Linked DNA regions of Tamandua tetradactyla. The protein of the gene in region 1 purifies or fractionates together with the protein of each later gene. This does not show direct contact. Links are inferred from orthologs where the notes say so. Each region holds a gene or a part of one and is shown on either strand. Other genes may lie near its edges. The genes, in order: POLR3H, POLR3K, POLR3C and POLR3GL.

Region 1 (7,268 bases):
CCCAGGGAAGCCACTGAAGAAATCTGGAGACAAAGACAGCAGAGATCATCACCACCTGTCTTTCCAGCTAAGAGAGAAACCCTGAACATCATCCGCCTTCTTGAGCCAAGGTATCTTTCCCCGGATGCCTTAATTTGGACATTTTCATGGCATTAGAACTGTAAATTCCCCCTTTTTTAAAAAGCCATTCCAGGGGCACAGGTAGTAGAATACCCGCTTGCCATATGGGAGACCTGGGTTCAATTCCCAGCCCATGCACTTCCCCCTTATCCCCCCCAACAAATCAACAAATGGCACTGCAATAACAGGATAGTTATTGGAAAAAGAATGAAAAGATATATGGAAAAAGAATGAAATGTGACCCCCAACATACAGCATACCAAAAAAAAAAAGGCATTCTATTTCTGGTATATTGCACCCCAGCAGCTTACAAACTAAAACACCATGTATGTCTCACATGCTATTAACTAATAATTGTCAATTAATGATAATTACTCTTACTAGTAAGGGTGGGCAGAAGACAGATTCCTGGCTACACCTACACTTCCCAATGTCCCCAAAGCCAGGCAGAGCCTCACAGCCCAGCGAATTTCAGAACTGCAGCTAATCTCTGTTCTGTCCACAGTCTTGGGCCCACAGATATGGCCACATGGACTGAAGGCTGGCAGAGAACAGGGTGACAAGACAGATCCAGGAACAATCCCAGCTCCACTGCTCACTGTTTGACCTCCAAAAGGGTCACTTCACCTTTCTGAGCCTCAGTTTCCCCATCTGTAAAAATGGAACTACCAGGCTTCCATTGGGGTGGGGGTGCCCATCCCACCCCGATGACTAGCCACTCAGTGCCTGCTTCCCTTCACCAGCACCGTGTCAACCCCATCAGAGTTTTTGTAGGGATGCTCAGGGATTAGCAAGGCACTTGGGGAACTCAGCTAGGTGGGCAGACCTCTCCACCATAAGGACGCAGAGTGCACGGGCTTTGGAAGCACATGGAGATCTGTGCCCTAGCTTGTGGAACCTCTTCTGGGAGGCCTCCTCCGATTATGCAAATACAGAAAAATTTGTCTCTCACCTTTCACCAAATGTTGAAGGAGCCATGCCCCAAAGGGATGAGGTTCCCTTCTTGGACTTTCTCCCTCCATGATGCTCACACCTCGACCCCCCCACAGGTCCCCTCACCTTCTTCGTCACAAAGGAAACAGAAGCCATCCACTAAGTTCTCAAGAGTCCTCCCCACCTCCTAACAGCCCCCCACATCTGCACACACCCCTCCTGTGTCCTCAGCCTCTACTAAAGGGTCCTGCCTCCTGTCTAAAGTCTATAGTTCTCTTCTTTCTTTTCTCCACTGCCTTCCACTGCTCTGCAGGTTAAAAACAACATCCTGGGCGGGCCAGGTGGCTTAGCAGGTAGAGTCCTCACCTGCCATGCCGGAGACCTGGGTTGGATTCCCAATGCCTGCCCATGCAAAAAAATAAAAAATTAAAAAATAAAAACAATATCCTGATGGTGTGTTCTGCATCCTGTAAACTTGTTCCTGCCTGCCTCGCCACCCCACCCCCACTTCCCTTCTGCCCAAGCTGCACCAGCTTCTGCCATGCAATGCTAGGAACTATATTCCCTCCTGCCACAGGGCCTCTGCACATGCTTTTTCCACTGCCTGCACAGCTCTTTTCCCTGACCAGGCCCCTACTGCCCCCAAGACAAATCCCCTAATTAGGCCACCCCCTCACCATCAGATCTCAGTCCCAGCACCATCTCCTCAACAAAGCAGCAGTCACCCTCACTCCAAGTGAATTCCTGTGTTTCAGAGGCTTGTGGGCAAGTGTCTTTGTCTTCACCTCAACACACATTCATCTGTGAGACCCTCTCATTCATGTCTGCTTCCCCCACCAGACCATATGGCAGAACCCTGTCTGCTTCATTCATTCAATCAACAATCTGGAATGCCTACTCTGTGCCAGGTTCTCACTAGGTGCAGGGAAGAAGACAGAAAAGGTCTCAACACTCATGGGAAGGAAAAGAGAAAAAAAATAACCAAATAAATAAAGAAAGAAGAAAATAACAATGTGGTAAGTGCTAAGAAGGAAAGAGGGTGCTGACACAGAAGAACTAAGGTGGGGGGCTACTCCAGAAAAGGCAGAGGGCACTAAGATAAATGGGCCTAGTACACAGAAGGTGTGCAAATCCTTGCTGCAGGAGGGAATGGATACACCTGTTACCTCTATGATACACAAAAACAATGTGACTCTTGGTAAGATAACCCTTATTATCTCCATTTTACAAATGGACACTAAGGCCCAGAGAAGGTAAGTGACTTGCCCAAAGTTGCAAAGTAAGTTGGAAGCGTGGAATCCAGCACCTTCCAGTTTCAAAGCCCTTTTTCAAACCCATTTTCTCTTTGGTCCCCTCCAACTCCCCTGTGCAGTAAGGATGACCCCATCCCTTTTTACAGACAAAGAAACCCGGGCTCAGAGACGTCCAGCTCTTTGCCCAATGCCGACCTTGGGCATGATCTAGCCCGGGAAGTGCTGGGCCCTCCCGTGCACAGACCTGCCCGCGACCCCGCTGGCCCAGCACCTTGTTAGCCAACTTCTTGTTCAGCTCCTCGGCGATGGAGTCGTTGAGCTTCCTCTCAAACTGCCATGGAGGGGTCCGCACGGTGTCCACCATCTCCACCAGGACGAACATCCCGGCCACCGCTGGGGGCCCTGGGAACGGCGGGGTCGATCATGCACGGGGACCTTGAGGAGGTGGGGACCCCCGAGGTCGCTCCGATCCTTCCCAATAGCTGAGACGATCTCCCCACTCCCAGGCCGGCAAGGTGGCCCGAAGGGTTGGTCAGGCTCCGCTCCCGCAATGCGAGGAAACTGAGGCCCAGCGGAAGGGCCGCACCTGGCGGCCCGCGCTCGGATCACACGACCCCCGCCACCACCACGCACCGCAAACACGCACCGCGCAACCCGCGGCCGCTCCGCTGGGCTCAAGAACCCGAATCTGGTTCCTTCCGGAGAGCAGACCAATAGGAAGCGTCTGCCCGCCCGCACCCGGGGCGGGGCTACCTACAGGCTGCGTGCGCTGGACGGGGCGGGGCTTGGGCCGGGGGCGTGGTGTGAGCGGCACCTCCCCTTCAGTCCGCTGGGAGCTGGGAACCCTCAGACCCCGGTTTCTGGTTCCGAGGCGACCTCCGGGCTCCCCGATCGCTTCTCCTCCCGCCTGCGATGTGCCGCACCCTCCCGGGCGGTCTCAAACTGTCTTCTGCATTGCGGCCAGAGTGATCCTTACAAAACGCAAACATAATATGCTTGAAACCTTCAGTGCTCTGGGGATGAGAATTGATTGCGAAGGGGCACCACGGACCTTTGTGGGAAGATGGAAATGTTTTTCGTCGGGTTTTAGGTGGTGCTTACACAGATGCACACAACTGTCAAAACTCATGGTACTCAACCAATGAGATATCTGCATTGTAGTGTAGATAAATTTTATCTCAATTTTAAAGTGGCAATACAAATGTCCATCAACAGATGGATGGATAAACAAAAATGTAGTATATCCATGCAATGGAATATTATTCAGTTGTAAAAAAATGAATGAAATTCTGATACATGAGACAATATGGATGAACCTTGAAGACATCATGTTGAGTGAAATAAGCCAGACAAGTATTGCAAGATTAATTAGAATATGCAAATTCATAGAGACAAAGTACAGTAGGGTCAAAGTGGAGTGGGGAGTTAATGCTTAATGGGTACAAAGTTGCTGTTTGGAGTGATAGAAAAGTTATGGTGATCAATGGCTGTAAGGGTAGTACGACATTGTGAATGTAATTAATAGCTCTGAATTTATACTTGAAAGTGGTTAAAATAGAAAATTTTATGTTATATATATATGTTACCACAATAAAAAAAATAGATGATAATAAATTGGGGGAAAACAACTGCAGCAGCTTCCCTCTGAATTTGGAATAAAGTCCAAGGCCTTTAGGGTGGCTCACAACTTTTGGCAGGATTCTGCCCTACCTGCTATGCGATTTCCATCTTATCTCCCCTCTCCATTCCAATCTCATTCATTTTCATCACGATAACTAACATGGGCTAATGGAATTCAGGAACTTGTCCAGGATCATGGGCTGCCAAGTAGAAGGGGTAGGCTTCCATCTAAACCTCTGTACCACTCTGCCTCTAAAAGTTAGAAATGTACAACTTGGTGGGGTGTGCAACTAAACTGAAGTGTGTTTTGACTAAAACAACAATTTGAGAACTTAAAGAAATCCTTGAGACAGACGGCCAGCATTCTGAAATGCACAGTGCTTAAATTTGCTGATTTCGCAAGCATAGAGATCTCTCTGACTATGAGACTGGCTGTGATGATACCGAATTTGGCCTTCCCTGCATGTGCATATTTTTATTTATAGGTTATCCTACCTCTGCTGGGATTTGAGCTTCTTGAGGGCAGGAGCAAATGTTACTTGAGCTCTTTGTTCCCACAAGCCCCCAACATCATTCCTCAGAGGTATTCAGCAAAGGTGTTTAAGAGATCAATATTAATTTTTCTCTCAAATGCCCCCCTTTATTCCATTCCCATTGCTACACCTTAGTTCAGGCTTTTTCATTTCTCTGTTGGAGTTTAGCCACACCTCCTGGCCTCCCAACCTCAATCTCTCCTGCAAGCCACCTCCATATCTTCACAAAAGTCTTCATTTCATGACTCTTTAGCCTGCACAAAAAGGTCTCGACTTATCCAGCCCTCCCGTCTAAGCCTGCCTCCCCTCTGTCCTCCAGGCACCAGAATGGAGCCCCATGAATGGAACAGGCCCTTTTATAGATATATCCTGTATGCCTCTTCTCCACCTGGAAAACTCTTACTCATTCATCAGCACCCAAATGTGATGCTTTTCCCAGTCACTCATTCATTCATTCAACATACAGTGTGCCCAGCCATTGGGGATCCAATAAGGGAAGAGAGGCCGGACCCTCAGATCAGAGTTGGGGATGGGGTGGGGACAGGGAACAGATGCAGAGAGAACATCTGGTGCTCTCAGGGAACGAAAAGTAATTCAGCTGTGTGCTGGTTTGAAAGGATATATGCCCCCTAAGGAAAGTCATGTTTTGATATAAATCCCATTTCATAAAGGTAGAATAATCTCTATTCAATACTGTATGTTCGAAACTGTAACGAGATCATCTCCCTGGATGATGTGATTTAGTCAAGAGTGGTTGTTAAATCGGATTAGGTGACGACATGTCTCCAGCCATTTGGGTGGGTCTTGATTGGTTTATTGGAGTCCTATGAAAGAGGAAATATTTTGGAGAATGAGCGTGAGAGAGAGCAGAATGATGTAGCCATGAGATGCAGAGAGTCCACGAGCCAGCAACCTTTGGAGATGAAGAAGGAAAACGCCTCCTGGGGAGCTTCATGGAACCAGAAGCCAGGAGAGAAAACTAGCAGATGACGACACCATGTTCGCCATGTGCCCTTCCAGCTGAGAGAGAAGCCCTGACAGTGTTCGCCATGTGCCTTCTCACTTGAGAGAGAAACCCTGAACTTCATCGGCCTTCTTGAACCAAGGTATCTTTCCCTGGATGCCTTAGATTGGACATTTCTATAGACTTGTTTTAATGGGGACATTTTCTCAGCCTTAGAACTGTAAACCAGCAACTCATTAAATTCCCCCTTTTAAAGGCCATTCCGTTTCTGGTATATTGCATTCTGGCAGCTAGCAAACTAGAACAAGCTGATTAACACATGAGATGAGAACTGATGAGCAGTGAGGCTGGAAACCTAGCCTTATCACTATAATATTTACTGCTACCATTTATGGGGCACTTACTATATGCTAAGCACTGTTCTATGTGCTTTACAGGTATTAACTTATTTAATCTTCACACTGGCCCTATGAGGTAGAGGCTTTTATCCCATTTACAGGGCAAGAATCTAAGGCAAAGAGAGGTAAAGTCGCTCGTTCACGGTCACCCGGATACTAAGTGGCAGAGCTAGGATGCAGGCTCCAGAGCCCTAACCAATGGCCTGTGCCACCATGACGTACACTATCCAGAGGGTAGCCATGGGAAGCCCTGGAAAGTTCAAACAGGAAAATGACACTGGAAAGCCGGAGGGGGAGTGGATGGGAGGGGGCTGGGTGGAGACAGGAAGGCCAGGGAGGAAGCTATTATGTGGCCTTGGCAAAAGGAGGCCTGCACAAGACTGGTGGCCGTGGAGAGTGAGGTGCTGGGCAGAGTCCAGAGGTATTCAGTGGGTGTCAGCCCCTGGGTGGATGACCTGGGGGAGGGAAGGGGGAGGAGCCTCTGGCCGGCTGGTGGCCATTCAACTGAGTGGGAAACTGGAGGAGGGCCAGGCTGGGGGAGGCGGTGGGGGGTGGGGCATGCCTTGAAGAGCGTTTTGGATTTCCAGGCATCTCTCAGGGTATTCAGCTCACAAGACGGCAACAGTGATTTGTTGGCACAATTGGTTCACTCACTGGTGAAAACAAGGACCAGACCTCATTTATTCTCCACGTCATCTCTGCAGGGTTTGAGGTGGTTTACAAAATACAGTGGCCTACAGGCTCCACGATAACAAGGACTTCTCTGTCATGTCCCCTCCATCTCTGCGGGGCTTGTGAATACGTGTTATTTGAACGCACAAAGGGATAACAAAATAATTGCCAAGGCCGTCGGAATAAGAGAGGAAAAAGGGTTGGAAGCTAATCAAGGCAGGAAGAGGAAGGAATGAGGGAAGGGGTCAAGGACAGTGACCTGGAGTTCCCACGCCACGGCCACACAACCTGGGAAAAGTCAGTGAACCCTTCAGTGCCTCCGCTGCCTCTCAGAAAAATGGAGAGGACAGCAGAACCCATCTCAAATGACAGTCTACCAGTAGAGAACTGGTTGAAAAAAAATATGGTCTGTCATATGATGGAATACTGTGGAGTCAGGAAAAAGAGTGAGAATATTCTTCGCATGACATTGAATGCTATTCAGAGCATATTAAGTGTAAAAATGCCAGGAGCAGAATAGAGTGTCTGTGACTCTACCATTTGTGTAAAAAAAGGGAGGAAAATCATAGTTTATATACAGAAGTCTTGGTTTCTGCAGAAAATAGCACAGGGAGGATACACTAGGAACTGATTACATTGGTTGGCATCAGGGACAGAAACTTAATGAGGGGGAGGAGAGGGTGGGAGGGAGAATTTTGTACCAAATACCCTTTGTCGCCTTTAATGTTTGGGATAATGGGAATATATTATCTACTCCAAAAAAAAATTAAATTAT
Region 2 (7,946 bases), on another chromosome or scaffold:
AAACCCTGGGCACCAAACCACAAGCGCCCTCGTGTCTTCCCAGACTTCCTCCCTTCAACAGTCAGAAGATAAAAGTTCCTGCTCTCACAGACCAGTCCCTGGCACCACATTGGAACTCAGAGAATCTGTGATCAGGGCACACCCCGAGCCAAGGAGTGGGAGTCAACAGGTAGAGGAGAGCTCTGTATGGATTAGAGAGGCACAGAGCAGAAGAAAGAATGGCTTCAGACAGGCCTTCCTCCTCTCCCACCCCTCCAGGGTATAACTCAAAATGAGAGCAACAAATACAACCAAACTTCAAAAACAAAGAGCACCACTTAGTGGGGTAAACTGGTCACTCCCTGCACAGAGTTTCCGAAGCAGTCTATGCTTGGCTTTTATCAGACATCCTTGGAACTTCGGGTTTACACGAGTTTTGGACTCTATTGCTTATGGTTAAGTAGTTTGCAAACATTAAGAAGAATGAGATAACCAACGATGTCAAGAAAATCAAGATTCTCTATTTTCTCCCACTGAAATTAAATGTATTTAAAAGGAATTTTTCACAAGCATCAGATACTAAATAAATTTCAGATAAGTTTACATATTTAATAAAAACACTGGTTTTATATCATTTTGTGATGAGAGATGTCTTAAGCAGCAAAAATCTATATAGTCCCTAGCAACAATATTTATTATAATCAATTACAGTGTCTTGGTTTTCGGCTTTATTTCAATACATTTGAAAAAGCCTTTATAAAATAAGTGTATTTACTGACTTTATCAGTAAGACTCCAAAGAAAGTAATTTGTAGTGCTTCACAATTTTGTAACAAATTGTGTCATGTTTTATAAGGCTGTGTTGAAAATGTTTTAAAAGGAAATTTATAAATGTACAAATTTACATAATTTGGGTCTTTATAATTTTATGTTAGAACTAGAAGAGACCTTAAGGACTCTCCTCACATTATAGATCAGAAACAGGAAGTTCTGAAAGGTGAACTTAATTAACTGATGAAGTTTACAGAGCTAATTAATTAATAACAGTGTATACTGAATAAACCACTCCAGGACTCTCCCTCCTACAGGAAGCAAAAATTATTACTAAGAGCTGATAAGAAAAAAATTAGAGAAACTTAAAATGCATTTAACTTAAGATAATCTGCTCGGATAACACTTTATTTTACTAATGAGAAGGGATATTAGTAATAGACGAAAGCTTATCAATATCAGGACTTTAGATCAAGTAAAGACTTAGATGGGATGATGTGTCTTGATTATACAGTAAAATGGCTTGAAGTTCATTTTCAATCCAACTATGCTTCAGTACTTGCAGATTCTAAGATCACATCTTAAAGTCCAGGTTTCACTAAAAGAAGAAAGTAAAATATGAAGCCGCAACAAAATGTTGTTATAAATTTAGTTTGGGATATTTAATCCTGTGCTCAGGGAAAATCAGTACCTAAGTAAATTATCGCATTAATAATTATTCTTAAATTTCTAACCTCTAAGAGGTGAAACCTACACGTAAATAGAATACCCACTTCTAGAAATGGTAGAGGTGCAAATGCCAGGAATGTATTCTAATGGAAATGAAGACAACGATAAATTATGTATTTATCTGTTTAAAAGAAAAAAAGGAAAATGAGATAGCACGAACGTGCTCTACTCTAAAAAGTAAAGGTGTTGAAAACTCAACAATAAGAAAACAAAATGGGCATATTACAAAATGGGCAAAAGAGCTAATGGGTACCTCACGTCACCTCAACATCATGTTATTAATGAAATGTAAAACACAATAAAACACTACAAACCAAATACAACAAATATGTTATATTATAGAATTTTAAAACAAAAGGAGAGAGAGAGGAGAAAAATAAAAAGTAAAAAAAAAAGCCTCCAATGAGCTGAGACTCAGCATCAAGGGATTGAGAAAACCTTCTCGACCAAAAGGGGGAAGAGCGAAATGAGACAAAGTGTCAGTGGCTGAGAGATTCCAAACAGAGTTGAGAGGTTATCCTGGAGGTTATTCTTACGCATTAAGTAGATATCACCTTGTTATCCGAGATGTAATGGAGAGGCTAGAGGGAACTGCCTGAAAATGTAGAGCTGTGTTCCAGTAGCCATGTTTCTTGAGGATGATTGAATAATGATACAGCTGTCACAATGGGACTGTGTGATTGTGAAAACCTTGTGTCTGATGCTCCTTTTATCTACCTTGTCAACAAACGAGTAGAACATATGGAATAAAAATAAACAATAGGGGGAACAAATGTTAAAATTGATTGTTTGAAATACTAGTGAACAATGAAAGGGAGGGGTAAGGGGTATGGTATGCATAAATTTTTTTTCCTGTTTTCGTTTTACTTCTTTTTCTGAATAGATGCAAATGTTCCAAGAAATGATCATGATAATATGCAACTATGTGATGATATTGTGAATTACTGATTATATATGTAGAACGGAATAATATGTTGTTTTTGTTAATTTTTTTAAATTAATAAATAAATAAATTTTAAAAAATTATATGGGATGTTAGCAGGTGAGTCCTAGGGGAAAAAAATAAAACGGGAGGAGGACATAACGGGGGAGCTGCAGGGCGCTTCCTCAGGGAGAGGGAAGCGGGCAAAGGCCCGGCGCGGTGGGGGTCCTCCAGGAGGCCCGCGTCGCAGCGGCCGCACGAGCGAGCAAGGTCGGGGTACCGCCGCGGCTGCGCCCGCCCCTGGGGGCGGCCCTGGGGTACGAGGCGGCTGGAGGCCGCGGGAGTCCCAAAGCTGGGGGAGAGCGGAGGAAGGGCGCTGTGGGCTGACGGGGGGTGGCGGGGACCAAGCCGGTGTCCGTGGCGCGGCGGGCCTGCGGGACTCACCTTGCGGGTGATGTTGTGCACGTACGGGCAAGTGTTGCAGGCGAAGCGGTGGCAGCGCTGACCCTCCTCCACAATCAGCCCGTTCCCGCAACCCGGACAGAAAAGCAACATGGCGGCGACTCCCGGCAGTCTCCACGGCCCCAGCTTCCGGGACCCGTCGGTGCCGAGGCCTCGAGCTTTCATTGGCCTTGGCAGCCGCCTGTCCTTCAACTCACCAATAGACACGCCGCTTACGTGCGCCCTGTGGGACGGGCAGCAAACTGTCCTGCGGTTGTCATTGGTTATGATGACCGCCCGTCTTCCAGATGCACCAATGACCTGCCTCCCTCGCTCTGCGCGCTGCGGTCCCGGCGCGTGCGCACTCTGCCACCCTCGCGCGAGCCTGCGGGAGCGGCTCCCAGCACCCGCCGCCCTGGCCGAGGCGGGGGTCGGGGCGCGCCCACTGGCGCCGGAGGACGAGGAGGACGAGGAGGAGGCGCTGCCGCACTCGGAGGCGGTGGACGTGTTCCAGGAGGGCCTCGCCATGGTGGTGCAGGACCCGCTGCTGTGCGACCTCCCCATCCAGGTGCGCGGGCGGGCCCAGGTGCCCGCGCTGGCGGAGGCCCCGGGCGCGGGTCTCGGCGGCGCTCGCGGCGCGCGGTCGCAGCAGGTTTAAAAGCCGCAGTTAGTGCACAGAAAACCTTCGCGGTGGGCAGGCTTTAAGCACAAACAAGTCCAGAGCTGACTTCTCCATGAGTGGTGCATTTACACTCCCGTCGTCTCGGGTCGTGCGCGTGCCGGTGCCCCTTACCCTTCGCACGCTGGCCCTGTCTGGTGACCGAGGGCCCTCCGGGTGGAGCGACCAGCCCGGCGTCCTCTCCTGCCCAGCCTTTAGGCTGTAGGAAGCAAAGGCCTGGACCCGGAGTGGGCGCATCCTCCTGTGTCTGTACTCCTGGCCCCCACCCCACGCCCACCGCTTCTGTCCAGTCTGAAACTTGAACGTAAATGTGTGGGTGGAACACGAGTAAGCGGGAAATCTAGTTTACAGGCAAGACCCCCTTTCCCTCCCTACCCTTCATAAAACGTGGTGACCACTGTGTGGACACGGCCAGCTTGTTCTCCTTCATGCTGTTTGGGGTAATGAAGGAGCGCTGGGCCCCACACACCCCTTGGTCTTTTCTAGGTCACTTTGGAAGAGGTCAATTCCCAGATAGCACTAGAATATGGACAGGCAATGACAGTCCGTGTGTGCAAGATGGATGGAGAAGTCATGCGTAAGTGGCCCGTCCTCACAGGGCCAGGTGGCGAGACAACGTGTGGTGCATGGATGCCTTGTTGTTAGCAGGGGTGGGCAGGGCATGTGGGCTCTGACAGTCGGTCCCCACCACGGTCTCCCGTTTGTGTCCCCGGTGGCAGCTGTGGTCGTCGTGCAGAACGCCACGGTCCTGGACTTGAAGAAGGCCATCCAGAGATACGTGCAGCTCAAGCAGGAGCGGGACGGCGGCATCCAGCACATCAGCTGGTAGGTGGGGTGGTGGCTCCTGGGCAGCCTTTCGGAGGCAGGCGTGGGCCGGCGGGGAAGTAGCTCCAGCTCCAAGTGAGCACTGCTGCTGTAAAGCGGCGAGGGACGCACTCCCTGCCCCAAGAAGCTCGGGCAGTTCTTCCTCATCTGCGCCATCCTCATCTGGGCTCCTGGTGGTGCTGCTGTCTGCTGGCAGCCCCTCCCTTCCTTGCCTGGTTCTGCAGCCGAGGGTGTTTGGTCTTTTGAGAGCAGCACCTCCTTGGAGCTACTTGGAGGGGCGCACGTGGTGCAGGAATAGCACAGAAGGAGAGGCAGGCCGCTGCGGGTCCCAAAGGGCTGAGGCAGCAGGCATTCACCTGCGTCCCTCCCGCAGGTCCTACGTGTGGAGGACGTACCACTTGACGTCCGCAGGGGAGAAGCTCACAGAGGACAGGAAGAAGCTCCGAGAGTAAGTTCAGGCTGCATCTTCACCACTGGGAAGATTGGTTCTTGCCTCCAGGACCCCTCCTAGGGGAGAGCCAAGAGCACGTGGGTGCTGTTGCCTTCCCAAGAAGTCCTGTGGGGTCAGCAGAAGTCCTGGGGTGCTTCCAGGGAGCTGGGTCTTAGCCCTCCCGCGTTGTGGAGGACAGGCAGAGGAGCAGATTTGAGTGCACTGCAGATCTCACCAGCATGAGGAGTGCGTGCTGGGGGGCTGCATGTGCATGGAGAAGAGTGGGGCTGCGGGAGGACGGACATGTGGACTGTCCTAGATGAGCCTCTCAGGAGCTCAGGTGGGAGCCCCTGAGGAGTTTTGTGTAGGTCCAACACGGCCCTCTTTCCTTCTCTTTCAGTTATGGTATCCGGAACCGGGATGAGGTCTCCTTCATCAAAAAGCTGAGGCAAAAATGAACCACTGGACTAGGGCAGCTTTGTTCACTGGTGGCCAGGCTTTTTCTGCAGGAAAGAGCCCTTAAGTCACCGTCCATTTTCAGAGGCAGGTTGAGGTGGCATCACCCCAGGTGGGTTCTGCCTCCTCCCCCTCCCCCATGGGGCTGTCAGCAGGGCCCTCTGGGATGGGCAGCTCAGGCCCAGGCCCAGGCACTCCTCTCCTGCTTGGGTTGGCCAAGCTGACCCCTCCCTGGGCCCAGACATCCCGATGGCCTGGTGGATCCTAGAAGCCTGTGGGCCCAGCTTTGTATACAAAATAAATCTGCTTTTTAGTTTGAAAATTCAAAAAGGCAACTGTACCTTAAGCAGGAGGGACTGGGAATGAGGAGGGGTGAGGCCCAAGACTGCACACCTGTTCCCCCGACCATATAGCCCTGTTCCCGTTGCCTGTGTGGTGGGGAGGGAACAGAAGACGGGTACCATCTGTCTGAGCTAGTGGGGGAGTAAGGGCTGGGTCCTGGTGACCACAGTGGTAGTGTGGGGCATACAGCCACAGAAACCCCACAGGCTTTCCCAGCAGCAGTCTCAGACTCAGTGGAGGGGTGGTGGTGAAACGAGCAGCTGGACATGCAGGGAGGTGGGGCAGCGCCCCCGCAGGGCGAGGGCATGCCAGCGGGTCCCTGCAGTCCTGCTCCACCCTCACCTCACTGTGACCTCACTGGGAGAGCCTGTCCTGGGGAACTGGACATTGGAGGCGAGGGCCCTGGAGGCTGGGGAACCTCACTGGCTGCCCAGCCAGAAACCAGAAAGGAAGAGACAATTCATAGTAAGTTAGTGGCAGCTAAAACGCTCCCAGTCCATTTATTGGCCACATGAGGTGGTCGTCAAGAGACTAGTTAAAAGGTAGTTGCAAGAACTGGTAATAAACCCCAATAGCACGAGGGGTTAAACAAGGCACCGAGGTGTGTGTGTGGAGAACATCGAGTCCGGCTCGGAGGCAGCAGGTCCACAGCCTGCACAGCTGGGGCGTGCGTGCCTCCTGTCTCCGGCCTGCTGGGAGGCCAGCCTGCAGCCTGGCTCAGTGGAGCTGCGCATCCAGCTCGTACTTTTCACAGAACTTGTCGGTGAAGGGGATGCAGGTGAGGAGCTCGCACCACTCGCAGCGGACAGGGTAGACATAGAAAAGGACCACCAGGCCGGCCAGGAGGCCCACAAAGACCACCTGGAACACGATGATCTGGCAGCGCTTACGGTACAGATCGAATTTGCCGAAGCTGATGTAGGGCAGGAAGGCGAAGGAGAGGAAGAGGCCGCTGACAAAGCCTGAGATGTGGGCAAAGTTATCGATCCAAGGCAGCAGCCCAAAGGTAAAGAGCGAGAGTACCACGGCCAGCAGCTTGAAGAAGGCACGCCAGGGCCGCGCCAAGATCTGCCAGCTCTGGAAGAGCTCTACGAAGAGGCAGGCCAGGATGCCGAACTGCGAGCCCGCTGGGCCCACCTGGGAGAGCAGGGCGGCCATGAGCTGGCTGTGGCATTCCCGGGCCCATCCCAGCTGAGCAGATGCCCTGTGCCCCGGGCCTCATCTCAAGCGCCACCTCACATGGCCCGAAGCACAGCAGGACTGCAGAGCCCAGCAGAGGGTCCCCGCCCTGAGGGGACAGCTCACCTCGGCCCGGTATGGCAGGAAGATGGCACTGGCCAGGTTGCCAGTGATGCCACTTAGCAGGTAGATGATGGAGATGCGGTGCCAGCCTGCCAGCTTCTCCAAGTCCCGCAGGATGGTCATCTGGAAGCAGATGGAAACCAGGCAGTGCAGGACCCTGCGGGCAGGAGCGAGGCACTCAGCAGGGAGGGTGTCCGGGCCACCTTGGCCCCATCCCAGCCCCTGGTCCCACTTGTCCAGCCCTGCCCAGCCCGACGGCAGCACTTGCCCAGCGTGCAGGAATAGTGACAGCCACAGGCGGTAGAACTGGTCGGGCACTTCAGGGTTGAGGAAGGGTAGGAGCCCACACACGTCGTCCATGCAGTGGACCTGCCCAGAGCAGCCATCAGTGTTGGAGTGGGGAAGGGGCACCCCCGCCCACCCACCTGAGGCCTACCTGAGAGCAGAGTGTGGCCTCCTCGTGGAAGTAGCCCCTCATGAAGTCACAGTACTCCCGGGAGGTGATCTCACACCTGGAAAGTCAGGCCGCAGTAGAGGGTGTCACTGTGCAGAGGGGGCCTGCTCCCGTCCCACCCTCCAGCTTCGCCCAGGTCCCCTTGGAATCCTGCCTGAATTTCAGGTGAGTGAGGGAGGGCCCAGCCCCAAGGCCATGCTCTGAGCCCAGGGCCCACTTGTGCATGTGCACCACACACCTGCCCTTGGTGCCGATGCAGCAGGGCCGGCCTGTGATGGCGCAGTCCATGTGCGGGTGGTTGGTGTGGTTTCCGGCGCTGCTTTTGGTGCAGATCTGGGTCGCAGGTGGGGATGAGGTGGGTCAGGGCTGTCCCCAGCCTTGGGCCCCAAACCATGCTTGGAGCAGGGAACAAAGTTAGGGGGCAGGTTCACAGGCCTCCCAGTGCTTCAAGCAGGCCACTGCGCCCTGAGCCCCAGTTGGCCCATCTGTCAAACTGCAACAGTGCTGCGTGGCCTCCCGAGTGCAAAGCTCACCTGCTCAGGCACAGGGGGCCAGCCTGGGTGAAGCCCAGGGCTTTGGCATTTGGGTCCGTGAGTGCTGCTGAGATTGGGGCCCTC
Region 3 (6,835 bases), on another chromosome or scaffold:
CCTTAATTGGAAAAGTTAACAAGAATCACATGTCAAGGAAAGAAATCCGGAAAAATTCCTCGCTATGATGCTCATCTGTCCTCTGAGCCTTATCCTTCAAAGCACTTTTCTTTCCCTCTATCATCCTCATTCCTTAAAAGTAGTACTGAGATGAACAAAACCGTCCTGAGTACATGAGGTTGGCAAGGGAAGGTGAAGGGTTTGCCTAGGAAGACACAATGAACTAGGAATTCCCTAAGAAGAGAAGTTTGGTGCCTAAGTCCCACCCTCTTTCCCACAAATAAAAAAAAAGCTGCACTGATTCCAGGGCAAGCTTTTTCATTTTCTGGGTTGGGGAAGAATATTTTAAGGTAGGTTAGAGAAGAGCAAATTAATGCCATCTAAACAGACCTGATCCAGCGATGTTCCTGTGTCATGGGCAATTGCTCTTAGTGGCTGACTGCCAGTTCTGATTAGATGGACTCCAATTTTTTCTACTATCTCTCCAAAGTGCTCTTGCAGCAACAAAGAGCACAGATTAATTTCTGCTTGAGTCATTGTAACGGGGAGATTTCAAAACTAGAAAGTAAGGGGGGGGGGGAGAACACAATTAATGATAGTAGCACAGAAAGTTTTTCTTTCCTATTGGGAGTAGAGCCACTGAGTATAAATTCGTGTACTCTTTCTGGAGGGCAATTTGGTAAAATCCAGCAAAAGCCTTACATTCTGGCACACCTTCAACCTGACAGTTTCACTCTGCGTACTATAAAAAGATGTCACTGTACGTTTCTTTATTCAGTGAAAAACTGAACAACCTAATGTCTAGTAAGGCATTTGTTCAATAAACTAGGGTCTACCCATACAATGGAATACTATAACATTTAAGATGATATAGTACAATATTGATTAGCATATAAAATTGGCTATAATGCATTAAGTCAAAAGAGCTAGTTACAAAACAAAATGTCTATTAAAAACTCAAGAGTGAAATAAGCTAGATAACAAAGTACAAATATTACATGATCTCACTAATATGAAAGTCAAAATAAGCAAATTCACAGAATCAGAAACTAGGATTTAAGTTACCAGGGATAAGCTAGGGGGAGGGAACTTAATGTCTAAGTTGGACAGTGTTCCTACGTGGGTGATGGAAAAGTTTTGGTAACGGATGGTGGTCATGGAAGCACAGCATTGTGAATGGAATTAACGGCACCGAATTATATATAAGAATGTGTTCAAAAGAGGAAATTTTAGATTGTCTGTAAGTTACTAGAACAAAATTTTTTTAAAAAAAACCACAATAAGATAGGACTGCACAACACAATGAACCCTAATATAAACCATGGGCAATAGTTAGTAGTATAATCATAATATTTTTTCATCAGTTGTAACAAAGGAACCACATTAATACAAGGTGTTACTAACTGGAGGGTGGGTATATGGGAGCTCGGCATTTTATGCAAGACTTTTCTCTAAACCTACAGTTTTACTAATAAAAAGTTCAATTGCTTTAAAAACAAAAAGAAAAACGTATGCACAGGAAAAAGGAAAAGACAGGAAGACTATACATCAAACCTATCTTTTTGGGATTACGCATGGTTCTAACTCTTTTTAATTATATAAAGTTTTGTGACGCGTCACAGACCTCAGATTCTTTACTTCATTGCTTGGAAAAATTAAGACCAGTGTTCACGACACACGCGGTGAACAGGCAGGATCATTCCCACTCCATGAAAGACCTGCCAGTGTAGAAGACGCAATTAGAAGGTAAAGGAGAGCTTCTCAACGTGGTATTTCAAATAGGATAATTCCGCAAATTCTATTCCCTGAGAAAATAAACACAAGCACAACTGATCGATTACGTGGTCACTCCCTCGTGCCACACTCTGCACCAAACGCTGGTTTACACCGATTCCTCCACATTCTTCGCAAGCGGAGTCTCTGCCCCGCAGCCTCGGCGTCACCGGACACGGCCGCCACAGGGTGCGCAGGTTTGGGGGCCCCGGGCCCTGCACCCCACGGAGAGGCCGCGGGGGGGTCCCGCCCGGGCCCTGCACCCCACGGAGAGGCCGCGGGGGGGTCCCACCCGAAGCCTGCACCCCACGGAGAGGCCGCGGAGGGGTCCCACCCGAACCCTGCACCCCACGGAGAGGCCGCGGAGGGGTCCCACCCGAAGCCTGCACCCCACGGAGAGGCCGCGGAGGGGTCCCGCCCGGGCCCTGCACCCCACGGAGAGGCCGCGGAGGGGTCCCGCCCGGGCCCTGCACCCCACGGAGAGGCCGCGGAGGGGTCCCGCCCGGGCCCTGCACCCCACGGAGAGGCCGCGGGGGGGGTCCCACCCGAAGCCTGCACCCCACGGAGAGGCCGCGGAGGGGTCCCGCCCGGGCCCTGCACCCCACGGAGAGGCCGCGGAGGGGTCCCGCCCGGGCCCTGCACCCCACGGAGAGGCCGCGGGGGGGTCCCGCCCGGGCCCTGCACCCCACGGAGAGGCCGCGGAGGGGTCCCGCCCGGGCCCTGCACCCCACGGAGAGGCCGCGGAGGGGTCCCGCCCGGGCCCTGCACCCCACGGAGAGGCCGCGGGGGGGTCCCGCCCGGGCCCTGCACCCCACGGAGAGGCCGCGGAGGGGTCCCACCCGGACCCTCCACTCTTTCCCGCGGGGCCCTGGTTCCACTAACCTCGGGGTCGCTGCAGTCCAGGGGCGCCCACCTAGGGACGGCGACGAGTAACCCTCCACCTCTTCACGCGACTGAGCCCAGGAAAATCGGGGCCTCCGGCCCTTCCTGCAAAACAACCAACCCGCCCGGTGTAAAAGCGCCGTCCGCTCTACCCGCAGCTTTGCGGTTTCCGGGGACGCTCTTCCTTTCTTCTCGTTGGAAAAGAGGCCGGCTAAGGCGGCGGGCGGGCCGCGGCTGAGGACGGTCCTCCCTGCGTCTCGTTGGTGCTGGGGGGTGGGGTCTCGGCTGAGGACTCTCCAGCCGGCGCCTCGTTGGTGCTGGGGGCGGGCCTCGGCCGAGGACGCTCTTGGCGGCATCTCGTCGATGTCGGGGGCGGGCCTCGCTGAGGACGCTCCTCCCTGCGTCTCGTTGGTGCTGGGGGCGGGCCTCGGTTGAGGACTCTCCTCCCGGTGTCTCGTTGGTGCTGGGAGGCCGCGGCCTGGCGGGCTCACGTGACCGCCGTGGCTGGGTCGCCCAGCGCCCTGAGGAGACGGCGGCCGCGGCTGGAGATAGCGGCTGGGGAGGGACGGGCCCGCTGCCCTTCGGACGGCCGCGGGGAAGAGGACAGATGGCGGAGGCCTCGGCGGCCGGGGCGGGCGCAGGCGCCGCCGTAGCCGCGCACCGGTTTTTCTGCCACTTCTGCAAGGGCGAGGTCAGCCCTAAACTGCCGGTAAGAGCCCGACCCCGGCCCCGCCCGCCCGGCCTTCCCGCGGGGCCCCGAGGCGGCGTCCTCCTCCGCAGGCTCTGGGCGCGCGTCGCCGCCTCTCCTCCCGCGATGACCTTCGCGCCGCGCTCGGCCCTGTCGGCTCCCGCCCGCCGCGCTCCTGGCTTCTTGTCCACGTGCCGCTGCGTCCCGCACCCGCCGGGGGGAGGCCGCACCCGGGACGAGCAGGGACTCAGGGAATTGAAGGATAGGCTGTGAGCAGGGACTCAGGGGGCCCTGGTGGCCGAGGGGCCCGAGGACCGCAGCGCCCCGACGGCGGCCGCGCGCTCCCGCCCGCTTGAGCGGAGTGACCGGGGGCCGCGCTGCAGCTCGGCCCGTGGGGCCCCTGCGGCGTCCTCGGCGCGCCCCTGCCCGCTCCCCGGAAGACGGCGCTGTCGGCGCGTGGGGCCCGCGAGGCTCTGGCCCCCGGGGTGGGTGTGCGCCGGGAGGAGGCGTCCCCGCGGCGGCCAGCTGCCCTGGCGCCTGCCCGGAAAAGCTGCTGCGGGGACCCGCGGCGAAGAGCGGGCCTCGGGGGTCGCGGGGGCTGCCTCTGGTCCAGGCCCGGGGTTCGCTGGCCTGGAGGCTGACTGCGGTTAGGGCTCGGGTCCGGCTAACCCATTAAGCCGCATGTGCTGCATGTGCACGCTGAGCTTTGCCTGTGATTTGGCTGTATACATGTGGGTTTTGTTTGTTTTCCTTTCTCCATGTTTCAGCTGGGAAGAGCGGTGCTGCTGGAACTTGCAGAGCTCTTTCACTGTGGAGGGGAGTCTGCATCCACCAGTATGCGGGGAACCCTCGACCTGTTGTCAGATAGGATGCTTTGCTGAACTTTACGGCCTCGTTGTTCCCACGTTTTAAGTCATTGTTCCCTCTCTTCCCTTTAAGAGTGAGAAAATCTAGTCCAAATTCTCACAACTTATCACTTCTTACCACTTCAAGTCTTCACTCGTAAGTGCTTGTAGAAAGCAGTAATTTGGAGGATTTTAAAAGTGATTTTTCAAGCCTTGTTAAATGCCTGAAGGAGAAATTCTTGATCTTTTAACTTTGATTTAGTATCTGTCATGCCTGTCTGAAATTGAGCCGAACACAGTTAAATATCATAAATATTGCTGTATGCGTACAAGGCCTCCTGCGGCATGTCCTGGGGTGGCATGGAGGAATCTACAGTCCCTGCCCTAAGGACCTCACAATCTTGTGGGAAAGTCAGCATGGGTAGGGAAAACATAATAACAAAGGTGACTGAGAATGGGGTAACAGATGCCGTAATGTTCGCAGAAAGGAGGACAGGATAGCATTGGCGAGGTCAAGGAAGGTGTGGCATGTGAGTTGGGTTGTGAAGGAGATGGGTGAATTCAGACGGGATAGAATAGCCTAGGCTGTGAGGTGGAAAAAGGAAGAGGGAGTCGAGGAAGAGGGGAGAGGCAGTATATCGTTGTTATGCTTTTCTAGGGAAAGGCGCCCTGAGGTCAAGGTTATAGTCGTGATTCGTGTATGAACCAGTGAGTTTGATCTTGCTTCCTGGCCGTCTCTGTGTCCTTAAGCCCAGATGGTCATCTTGAGAAGTTGGTTAGAAGGATGACCCGGCCATGAAGTGGCTGGTTCTGTGCAAATCTGTCTCTGCTAGGGAGAGCCAGCTCAAGCATTGCTAAGTCAATGCCCTGATTTTCATGGCTAAACTCAACATTTAAAAGTTTAAAAACATATGTGCATGATTTCTAAATGTTGTGTTAGTTAATTTTTTTTTAATTAATAAAAAAAAGAAAACAATCTAAATAAAAAATTGGTAGAAAGAAATATTACTTGAAAATATATGTGTATATCTCTATATGAAATATATCATTTAAATCTAGCATATATTATAGATAATATTCTGGGTACTGTTTGGGGTAATTTGTTATTTACTTAATATACCTTGGAGAACTTTCCTTAATAGGTGAACACGATCTCATTCTTGTAAGTGATCACATAGAACGCTATATGATAGAACCATAATATATTGCTATGTCCCTACTAGAAACATTGAGGTTATTTTCAATTTTTGACCATTTCAAAAATATGCTGAAGTTAACATTCTCACATAGATTTCTTTGTTTTTGTTTGGGTTTATTTCATAGATAGAGGATAGAGTCATATAGGTAAGCTTCATTGGTGTGTGACTTGAAGTTATGTACCCTCCAAACATGTTCTTCATATTAATTCATTCCTGTGATGTGAACCCATTGTAAATAGGATTGTTATGAGATTACTTCAGTTAATGTGTAGCCCAAAAAAACAAAAAAAAAACGTGTGTATATATATATCCATATATGTATTCATATGTGTATATGAATTTGAGATTCCCCCACTGTGAGTAGCCAGCCTGCATTAGGCATGCATGTTTGGGGAACTGGACGTGCATTACGGGAACCTGTGGTCTGTGTGAGGCCGGCCAGACCCAGCTCTCCTTGAAGAACGTTTTCCTCTCTCTTCACTGAATTTGCATCTGAAGCGGGTAGGAGCCGTTGGGTGACAAGAAGCAGCATCACCCGGAGCGCTTCCTCTGCCAGAGGCTGGGCATTTGTACCTCCTCTAATGAGCTACTTCTGGGTGGGTTTCCTCCCCGCGCAGTGGGGTGCCTGCTGGGGCGCCATCTCGGCCCCTGCCGTCTCCCCTTGTTCACTGAGACTGGGTGGAAAAGTACACAGCTCCCTCCCTTTTTTACCTCCCTCAGTGTTTGGAATCTGTCATTTCTTGGTACATTTGGAAGTGAGCGTGGCCAATCGCAACAGCTTAACCAAGGTTCAAACCTGAATCTACCTTTAGGTTTTTGTTTGTCATTTTTCTTGTTAGTCCTATTACTTTGTAGAATTAATTTCTGTATTAAGAAAAATAATTTTCATTACAGCTTCTATGCCTAATGCTGTGAGGTTAAGCTGCATGGTTAAATTAATTTAATTTGTTGGAATAACATGCCTTTCTACTAGTTCTGATCTATCCATCTCAGCTTCGTGTGTCTTGGGTTTGGATACTTCCTAATAAGAGGACAAAGCCTCTGTTCAGAAAGGAGATATTAAGAAATTAGGGAAAATCATGAAGGGAATTGTGAAATTTAAATGTATCAATGGTACTGTTTTCTGTCAGCTCTAATAAGAGTCCCTAGAAGGGAATATTGATTTTGGAATTTACTTCTTCATATTATCATTCAGTTCCCTGAGTCCCTTCTCATATTTTTCCATTTTTTTCCCTGTAGTTTCTGTTTCTTATCGGATTTCAGATGTTCCATCCTCCAGTTTGAAATTTAGTTCTCGTACTAAAAATGTTTTCCTATTAATGTGAATATAATTTTAGTAAAGTTTGGTGAGTACTAAACTTGGATTTTAAAGTAAGAGATTTTTTTTTTTTTAACATGGGCAGGCACCGGGAATTGAACCGGGTTCTAGGGCATGGCAGGCAACCACT
Region 4 (7,550 bases), on another chromosome or scaffold:
GTATGTGCCACACATCCATAACCTAGTCCTCGGAACTGCGAGTGTGACCTCCGGCAGCAAGGACTTTGAGGGTTGATTAAATTAAGGACTTGAAATGGTGAGATTATCCTGGGGGTCTGAGTGGGCCCTGAATGCAGACACAAGTATCCTAACAGGGAAGGAGAGGCAAGTGGCCACAGAGGGCAGCGCCGCAGTCACAAGCCGAGGAGTCCCAGCAGCCGCCAGGATCCGAAGAGGTTAGAGCAGGTTTCCCCAGAGCCCCTGGGGAAAGCATGGCCGGCACCCTGAGTGTGGTCCACATGCACTGATTTCAAACGTCTGGCCTCCAGAACTCTGGGAGAATAAATTGCTGTCATTTTAAGCCACCAAGTCTGTGACAGCTTGCTATAGCAGCCATGGGAAACTAATATAGGGGACAACACAGTTTCCCAAACTGGAAATATTCAGACCAATCATTTTAACCCCACGGTCACTTTCAGGCGAAGCTGCCTGTAATTCTGAGGAGAAAGGACAACAAAGCAGAAAATACCATTCAAGTGACACTTGTTCAACCTAGAAAAGTAGCGGGGCACAACCTCTAATCACGTAGCCATACTATAACATAAAGAGAGGGCAATAATTCAAAAAATCAGGCTTGAAGAGAGCAATGCAGCAGTTACACAGCAAGGAAAGTGACTTGGCCATTCAGTCAGTTATGCTGGTTTGGGGATTGCTAGCTGTCAGGCATTGCAAGAAGGTGGCTCTATGTCATGTGGAAAAGGGGGGACAAAGGAGGCAGAGTGTTAGCAATACCTGTCGTGTGCAGAGTCTTCAAACAACTTCCAGATGCATAATGACAGCAACCACTCACTGGGTACCACGTGGATTGGGAACTTTATATTCGCTGTCTTGTTCAATCCACACAGAGCCATCAAGACAGGTATGACGATGCTCATTTACAGAGAGTAAAAAGGATCACACCACAGTGGCAGAACCAGGGTTTAGAACCAATGTTTGTTTGGCTTCAAAGTCAACCCACTTTCTGTTGTACTCTCCTGCTTTACTACACCATTCATCCTCACACTTGTTTGGAAAGTGGATGTGAGTTCCACGAGACTAAGGACTGAGAAGCTGTCTTGTTCACCACTGCGTCTGCTGAGCAATAAATACTTGTTGAATGAATGAATGAAACTATGGGGTCTTGAGAGATTAAGCAAGATCACACAGCCAGAACTGATCAGGATCCTACAGCATACTGGGCTGTGCGTGTATCTTTGGAAGTGGATAGGTAATAAAAGGACAAACAGCTGAAATTCCAGAAGAGTTTTTGAAGAAACGCTGAGATCCTAGAAGAATGGGGTAAAGGGTGAGTGTGAAGAAGATGGAGGGTGTGCACTGAAGACGGTGCAGGAAAACACTGCTGGTCCAAGAAACGGTCTGGGCAAAGGCCAAAATATGCTGTACTCAGGAGAGCAGAGCCAGCCCCCAAACACCAAATGCCATCAGTCACATGGGCGTGTGGGACATGCCAACGGCAGCTTTGCCTATTCATTGGAGCAGAATAAGTGATTCCATGTGGGGATGGACTTCTAAGCCAAATCAGCAGAGATTCGCTTGCCTGAAGTTTAACTATCTGCCAAACTCTTCCAAAGTACTGGCTGGATATCCAGACTGGAAACGGGAAGCGAGCATCATGGGAGGGCCTGCGGTGGGAGGTGGGGGGCTGGAGGAGGGGTCTCCACACAGCCTACAGCGCGACTGACTGCTCGATGTCAGCACAACTCCCTTGTTCCCCATCCTTTCTAGGGAAATGAAAAAAGTGTCCAGATTAGAGGCTTTCCAGGTAACACAACTAAGAAAGGATACATTGTAGACTTTTAATAAATGCCTTATCTTCCCCAGAGGAAGTGGTCAGATGTCAGACTGCCAGTCCTGGCCATGCCCATACCCAGAACCAGAGGCTGTCCCTTGGCCTCCACCTATAGATCTGAAGCAGGACACAGTGGATGGCAGTTCCATCACATTGTCCTCTAAAAACCAGAAACTAAAGTAGAAAAAGAACTCTATCCCCTCACGGTGAGTTCCAAAAGCACATCCACTGCATCCCCAGTACCTTGCAGCGTGCCTGCCCCATGGTAGAAATTCAAAGTACATGAAAAATGAAGGAAAATGATCATAAATGAATCACTGGACATATAAATAGCAAAATGGACCTAAAATTTTGTTTTCATACAAATCTTTGAGTTTACACTGTACAGATTTAGAGTGGGAGGAAATGAGATATGTTCTTCCCAAGAAAATATAAACCAATATATTTTAGATATTAATAATAGTTATCATTTAGTAAGTACCCATTATGTGTCATTTAATCCAAATCATAACCCTTGAAGAAACTGAAGCTCAGTGAAATTGAGTCACTTCACCAAGAACACAGGATGGCAAAGATGTAATCTGGGACTGAATCCAGACCTGCCTGACTCCAAAACCCGTGCCCCTTTAGCTGGGCTTTCTCAGACAAAACAAGTGGTCACCATCTAAGGACAGCCCTGCAGTGTCTCTGCATTATTGTTAAACCAGAAAGCCAAAGGCGTTGTCATTTCCAGGCCGAGCAGACAGAAGTGATGTCTTAAAATTCCAGACCTAAAAGCTGCCTTCCTCACCCCTCAGCAGATAGTCCTTGTCCGTTACACTAAATCTGAAACTTCAGCTCAGAAAGAAACTGGTTAAATAAAAACCACAGAGAAAATCCTCCCATCCCCCTTGCCAGAAACCGTACAAATGAGGCATCTCTAAGATGAAGATTTCTAATGGAAATAGAGTTTCTGCCTGGCTCATCTCCACAGAAGTGAGCACTCGGGGCGCCCGGGCCTGGGCTTTATGCTCAGTTCCTGGGCAAGGGCCAGGACCGCGGGGCCCGCCGGCCGGAGGCCAGGGGCGCGGCCGGGCGCGCAGACACTTGGCTGGGGTGGGCGCCACGCCGGGGGCCCAGATTTGGAGGCGCAGCTACCGAGTGGCGCGCGCAGGCGCCAGGTTGTCCTGAAGTTGTGCAGGAAGTTGCCGAGGGAAGTAGGAAAAGCACTGGAAAGTCAAGGTTAAGGAGAGAGTGACGGAGCGGGGGGCTTGGGGAATCGCTGGGCTCGCTGGGGACAGTCCGCGAGGACACGACTGAGAAAAGTCCGGGATCGAAGATAAGGCTGAGCGGCCCAGACCACGGGCCTGGCCCTCGACGGGGAGGGGTGCTGAGACAGCACTTTACACAAGCCCCACTTCACAAGGGGGAGGGCCGGGGAAGAAAAGACGGCCGGGGCGCGGGGGCGCGGGGCCGCAGGGGAAGGAGGGGGCCGCTCGGTAAAGGGGTGCACGAGTGCGCGCTGGCCGCCCCAAAGGAGCCCCCGACGGCCACGCCGCGGGGCGCGGGCGGGGGGCGGGGGGCGCTGCCGGGGCGAGGGCCTGCACTCACCTCGCCCGTAGCCCTGCGTGTGCTTGGCGAAGCTCCTCACCACCGCCTCCACCGCTTCGCGCAGCACCGCGGGGCCGCCGGCCGCTCCCGGAGGCAAGGGCAGCCCGGGGGCCGCGGGCGGCGGCGCGGGGGGCGGCGGCGCGGGTGGGGGGCCCCCAGGAGGCGTGGCGGCCGCGGCCCCCGTCACTCCGGGCCGCAGAGCTCGCAGAGCGCCGCGCCCGCCGGGCCCCACTCCGGGCTGCAGGCGCTGGGCGCGCATCGTCTCCATCCGCCGCGGCGGGAGCGGCGGCCCGGAGTCCGGCGAGGGGACTGCCCAGCGGCCCGGCCAGCTCCAGGGGCGGAGGGCGGGGCCGGGCGGCAGCAGCCTGGCGGGGGTGGGGAGAAGCCAGGCCGCACGCCAGTCATCAGGGAGAGGGCGGGGAGAAGCCGGGCCGCACGCCAGTCATCAGGAAGAGGGCGGGGAGAAGCCGGGCCGCACGCCAGTCATCAGGGAGAGGGCGGGGAGAAGCCGGGCCGCACGCCAGTCATCAGGAAGAGGGCGGGGAGAAGCCGGGCCGCACGCCAGTCAGCAGGGAGGGGGCGGGGAGAAGCCGGGCCGCACGCCAGTCACCAGGGAGGGGGCGGGGAGAAGCCGGGCCGCACGCCAGTCATCAGGGAGGGGGCGGGGAGAAGCCGGGCCGCACGCCAGTCACCAGGGAGGGGGCGGGGAGAAGCCGGGCCGCACGCCAGTCATCAGGGAGGGGGCGGGGAGAAGCCGGGCCGCACGCCAGTCATCAGGAAGAGGGCGGGGAGAAGCCGGGCCGCACGCCAGTCATCAGGGAGGGGGCGGGGAGAAGCCGGGCCGCACGCCAGTCACCAGGGAGAGGGCGGGGAGAAGCCGGGCCGCACGCCAGTCATCAGGGAGGGGGCGGGGAGAAGCCGGGCCGCACGCCAGTCATCAGGGAGGGGGCGGGGAGAAGCCGGGCCACACGCCAGTCACCAGGGAGAGGGCGGGGAGAAGCCGGGCCGCACGCCAGTCACCAGGGAGGGGGCGGGGAGAAGCCAGGCCGCACGCCAGTCATCAGGAGGGGCGGGGGCTGCCGGATCCAGGCCAGCCATAGGCGAGTTACCGCGGAAGGCGGAGGGTCTTCGCGGCCAATCGCAGAGGGGAAGCTGCATCCTCTTCAAGGGAGAAGCGGGACTTGGGCCGGTCTTTGGGGATCCCGTGGTGAGTACGAGAAAGCGGGCCAGACCCCTGGGGTGGAGCTTAGAGAAAAAGTAGGAGTCGATACAAGGCTGGGGAGAACTGTAGACAGAGTGAGAGGATTCTTAAAAGTAATTGCCCGACTACTTCATTTGACAGCTGTAGATGAAGAAACTGGCTCAGAGAAGTGGTGTGTAAGATCACACGCAATTGATGGTAGAGACAAAGCAAGGAAAGATACTGACAATGAGCTGACTCTTAAGCTCTACGTCAGGCACTAGGCGATGGGCTTTACTGCATTGTCTTATTTAATAATCTCAATCACTAATTCAGTTTTGTTTTATGGACAAGTAAACTGACGTTCAGAGAGACTATATAAATTGCCCTATATCAAATAGCTAGGAAATGGCAAAGCGAGATTCAGACCGATAGGTCTTCTGACTCCCAGTATTTTGATATTTTCACTACACCACATTGTTCAGTGACTTTCTCATTTGACCTAAATTGGAGGAGAGAGTAAAAGTAGGATGGGCAACAACCTTCACCTCCCAGTAGAGTGAAAAGAGAATATATGTAAAAACCCAGCCAACTGAGAGGATAGATTAGCGCAGTGACCCTGTTCATAGGCCCTCCAAGGCTGGGCTTCTTCGGTTACTCCTACACACTCCCTGCACACCCAGTGTCAGTTGACCATCATGTCATGTTTACACAGGTGAAATTATTCTAGGTACTCCTCTCCACCCCACCCCCACCTCCCTTATTCTCTTTCTCACTGTGCCCTACAGTGACTCAGAAATCAATAATGGGGAAAAAGAGGCCAGAAGTAGAAGAAAATGAATAAGAGATACCCCCAAGGAAAAGCACGGAGTGATCAAGAAATAGGAAGCTTGGAAGAGGGACATTTAATCTAATGAAATGTGTCTGTTGAGGGCAGAGCTGTAGGGATCTAAGTTAAAGAGCTTGGGAAGGGATGTGGGAGAGAATGGGGGGAAGAAAACCCAGTTAAATGACTTAAAGCCTTCAGAACACTTACTTTTCCTTCTACAAACACGGTTGGTCATGTGGCCCCCTAGAAAGTAGGTGGCTGGAACTTCTAAATATCTCCTGGATCATTATAGCTTTGGTCAGCATCACCCTCCCTCCCCACCATTTCTCATATCCCATGTTTACCACTCCCAGGCAGAAGAGTGACAAAGCAGAGACTTCTGAACACTTTTATTTGATATGTCAAGTGGAGAGAGAAGTGATTTAGGATTGCCCCCCACTTCACCTGTGGGGGTGTTCATAAGCTCAGACAAAAACAGAAGAGCAGCTAAGGGCTCAACCTGCCCTTTGGGAAAACGAGACAACCTGCTGTGGTGTATTAGTTGGGGGAACAGGGCAGGCATGAAAAGCATGGAGTTGAGAAGGGAAGCTGAGAGCAGGAAGAGCATCAGCAGAAGTGAGGTTGGGAGTTACCACAGGAAACCTCCAAGAAGAATGAAGAAGATAATCCTCAAAAGCGGATGGGGCTGGACGCAGTGTGTGAACAGGGAGCCCACCCTGGAAAAGCAAGGCCTGCAGAGCAGGGTGGGGCAGTTGTGAAGAGGGGAGTGTGTGTAAAGTCATGATGGCGCCTGTGTTACAGGGCACACGTGGAAAGCAGGGGGTTGCCATTTAGGGGACGTTTTCAGCAGGAGGGCAAATACAGCAAGGACTACCCATAGGCAGGACCTCCCTACTGCTTCTGACAAATGCGAGCGAGTTTGGGGTCCGTGTGGAGTCCTCGCACAAGTGGCCCTGTGTGTTTATTGGTTTGCCATGCCTCTGGGCACACAAGTGATTTCATATAGGTGTGAAGTGAGCAGGGCATGAAGGCATGGGTCTATAGGCCCAGTAAATAGAGATTACCCTTTCCTACAAATAGTACTGTGCTTGTGAACACGTTTACCCACGTGTGCGTGCAGCGTGCCCATGAGCACATGCAAGTGACCCTGTGCAATGCGTGCGAGCTGTTCCCCCATCTAGTCCTCAGGCCCTGACCCCCAGCCTCCCGGCTCCTCTCCCGTGTCTCAGCGCCCCGGCTCCCCCGGCCCACCGAGACTCTGGAAGCCCCCTAGCAGGCGGATCTGCTCAGTTTGCATGGAGTGGCGCCGCACCAACTTGCGCTTGGCCCTGGGAGAGCCTGGCACCCCCGCGTGGGGAGGGGCGGGCAGCGAAGGCGCCCGACCTCCGGGCTGGGGGCGGATGTCGGGAATGGGGGGGTGGGGGCTAACGTTGAGAGGCGGTAGGAAGCCAGGCCGAGTTTGCGCGATGTGGTCCAGGAGCAAGGTCCCTGAGCCCCTCCGCTCCAGCAGCCCGGGGCTCCGCCTCCGGCCGCTCAGCGGGGATACAGCCCCGGGCAGACTCTCCTGGGACTGGCGCGGGGAGGGGGCCGAGGCAGCGGGCGGGAGGGTCAGTGGGGAGGCGCTGTATCTGCGGCGCTCCAGGGACGGGCGGCCGCACTCGGGCGAGTCGGGGCACAGATGTCCGGGGCCGTCGAGCTCCACTGGCTCCATGCGGCTCAGTTTCTGCCTCAGCCCTGCAGGGGGGCAGGGCTCCTGCGCCTCCGGCGCCGTGTTGCGCCGGGAGAGGGGCCCCCCGCCCGCCACCTTCTCCGCCCACGGAGGCGGGTCCTCTGGGCCCTCGGTGCTGTGACGGCGGGAGAGGCGGGGGCGGCCGGTCAGGCTGAGGCCGTTGAACTCGGCCGTCAGGCGCTCTAGCCCGGGCCTCGCCTCGGCTGGCGGAGCCGGTTGAGGGGGGGCCACGAGGCCCCAGGGCTCAGAGTTGAGCCTTTTCAGTGGTTTTGGGGGGTGGCGGGGTGGCTTGGGAAGTGGCTCGGAAGGGGAGGGGTCATCGGGGGGCTTGGGGAGCGGGAATTCAAAGACGTCCCGCCTCTCCTCCTCCTCC

The links.
Region 2: the proteins of POLR3H (region 1) and POLR3K purify together in Homo sapiens (affinity purification with mass spectrometry; 3 studies listed by BioGRID and IntAct, with this or other methods). This does not show direct contact. The link is inferred for Tamandua tetradactyla from reciprocal best matches to the Homo sapiens genes POLR3H and POLR3K.
Region 3: the proteins of POLR3H (region 1) and POLR3C purify together in Homo sapiens (affinity purification with mass spectrometry; 5 studies listed by BioGRID and IntAct, with this or other methods). This does not show direct contact. The link is inferred for Tamandua tetradactyla from reciprocal best matches to the Homo sapiens genes POLR3H and POLR3C.
Region 4: the proteins of POLR3H (region 1) and POLR3GL purify together in Homo sapiens (co-immunoprecipitation; 4 studies listed by BioGRID and IntAct, counting the BioPlex papers as one, with this or other methods). This does not show direct contact. The link is inferred for Tamandua tetradactyla from reciprocal best matches to the Homo sapiens genes POLR3H and POLR3GL.

Annotation. Positions count from the first base shown.
Region 1 is NC_135333.1:34,706,190-34,713,457, forward strand, and holds the start of POLR3H (DNA-directed RNA polymerase III subunit RPC8), read right to left. Parts: upstream 3,018-7,268; 5' UTR 2,953-3,017; exon of another isoform or gene 2,709-2,952; 5' UTR 2,689-2,708; coding exon 2,578-2,688; intron 1-2,577.
Region 2 is NC_135349.1:57,276,695-57,284,640, reverse strand, and holds the start of POLR3K (DNA-directed RNA polymerase III subunit RPC10), read right to left. Parts: upstream 2,956-7,946; coding exon 2,845-2,955; intron 1-2,844. Other genes in the region: SNRNP25 (U11/U12 small nuclear ribonucleoprotein 25 kDa protein), read left to right, coding at 3,368-3,409, 4,007-4,097, 4,240-4,345, 4,719-4,793, 5,176-5,233; RHBDF1 (inactive rhomboid protein 1), read right to left, coding at 6,291-6,710, 6,879-7,032, 7,144-7,244, 7,312-7,387, 7,568-7,662. UniProt on the Homo sapiens protein: Core component of RNA polymerase III (Pol III) which synthesizes small non-coding RNAs using the four ribonucleoside triphosphates as substrates. Can mediate Pol I proofreading of the nascent RNA transcript.
Region 3 is NC_135330.1:1,319,331-1,326,165, reverse strand, and holds the start of POLR3C (DNA-directed RNA polymerase III subunit RPC3), read right to left. Parts: upstream 3,015-6,835; 5' UTR 2,656-3,014; intron 1,806-2,655; exon of another isoform or gene 1,719-1,805; 5' UTR 1,625-1,718; intron 559-1,624; 5' UTR 538-558; coding exon 391-537; intron 1-390. Other genes in the region: E3 ubiquitin-protein ligase RNF115, read left to right, coding at 3,263-3,364. UniProt on the Homo sapiens protein: DNA-dependent RNA polymerase catalyzes the transcription of DNA into RNA using the four ribonucleoside triphosphates as substrates.
Region 4 is NC_135330.1:1,432,063-1,439,612, forward strand, and holds the start of POLR3GL (DNA-directed RNA polymerase III subunit RPC7-like), read left to right. Parts: upstream 1-4,534; 5' UTR 4,535-4,646; intron 4,647-5,830; exon of another isoform or gene 5,831-6,673; coding exon of another isoform or gene 6,674-7,550. Other genes in the region: LIX1L (LIX1-like protein), read right to left, coding at 3,440-3,707; ANKRD34A (ankyrin repeat domain-containing protein 34A), read right to left, coding at 6,674-7,550. UniProt on the Homo sapiens protein: DNA-dependent RNA polymerase catalyzes the transcription of DNA into RNA using the four ribonucleoside triphosphates as substrates. Specific peripheric component of RNA polymerase III which synthesizes small RNAs, such as 5S rRNA and tRNAs.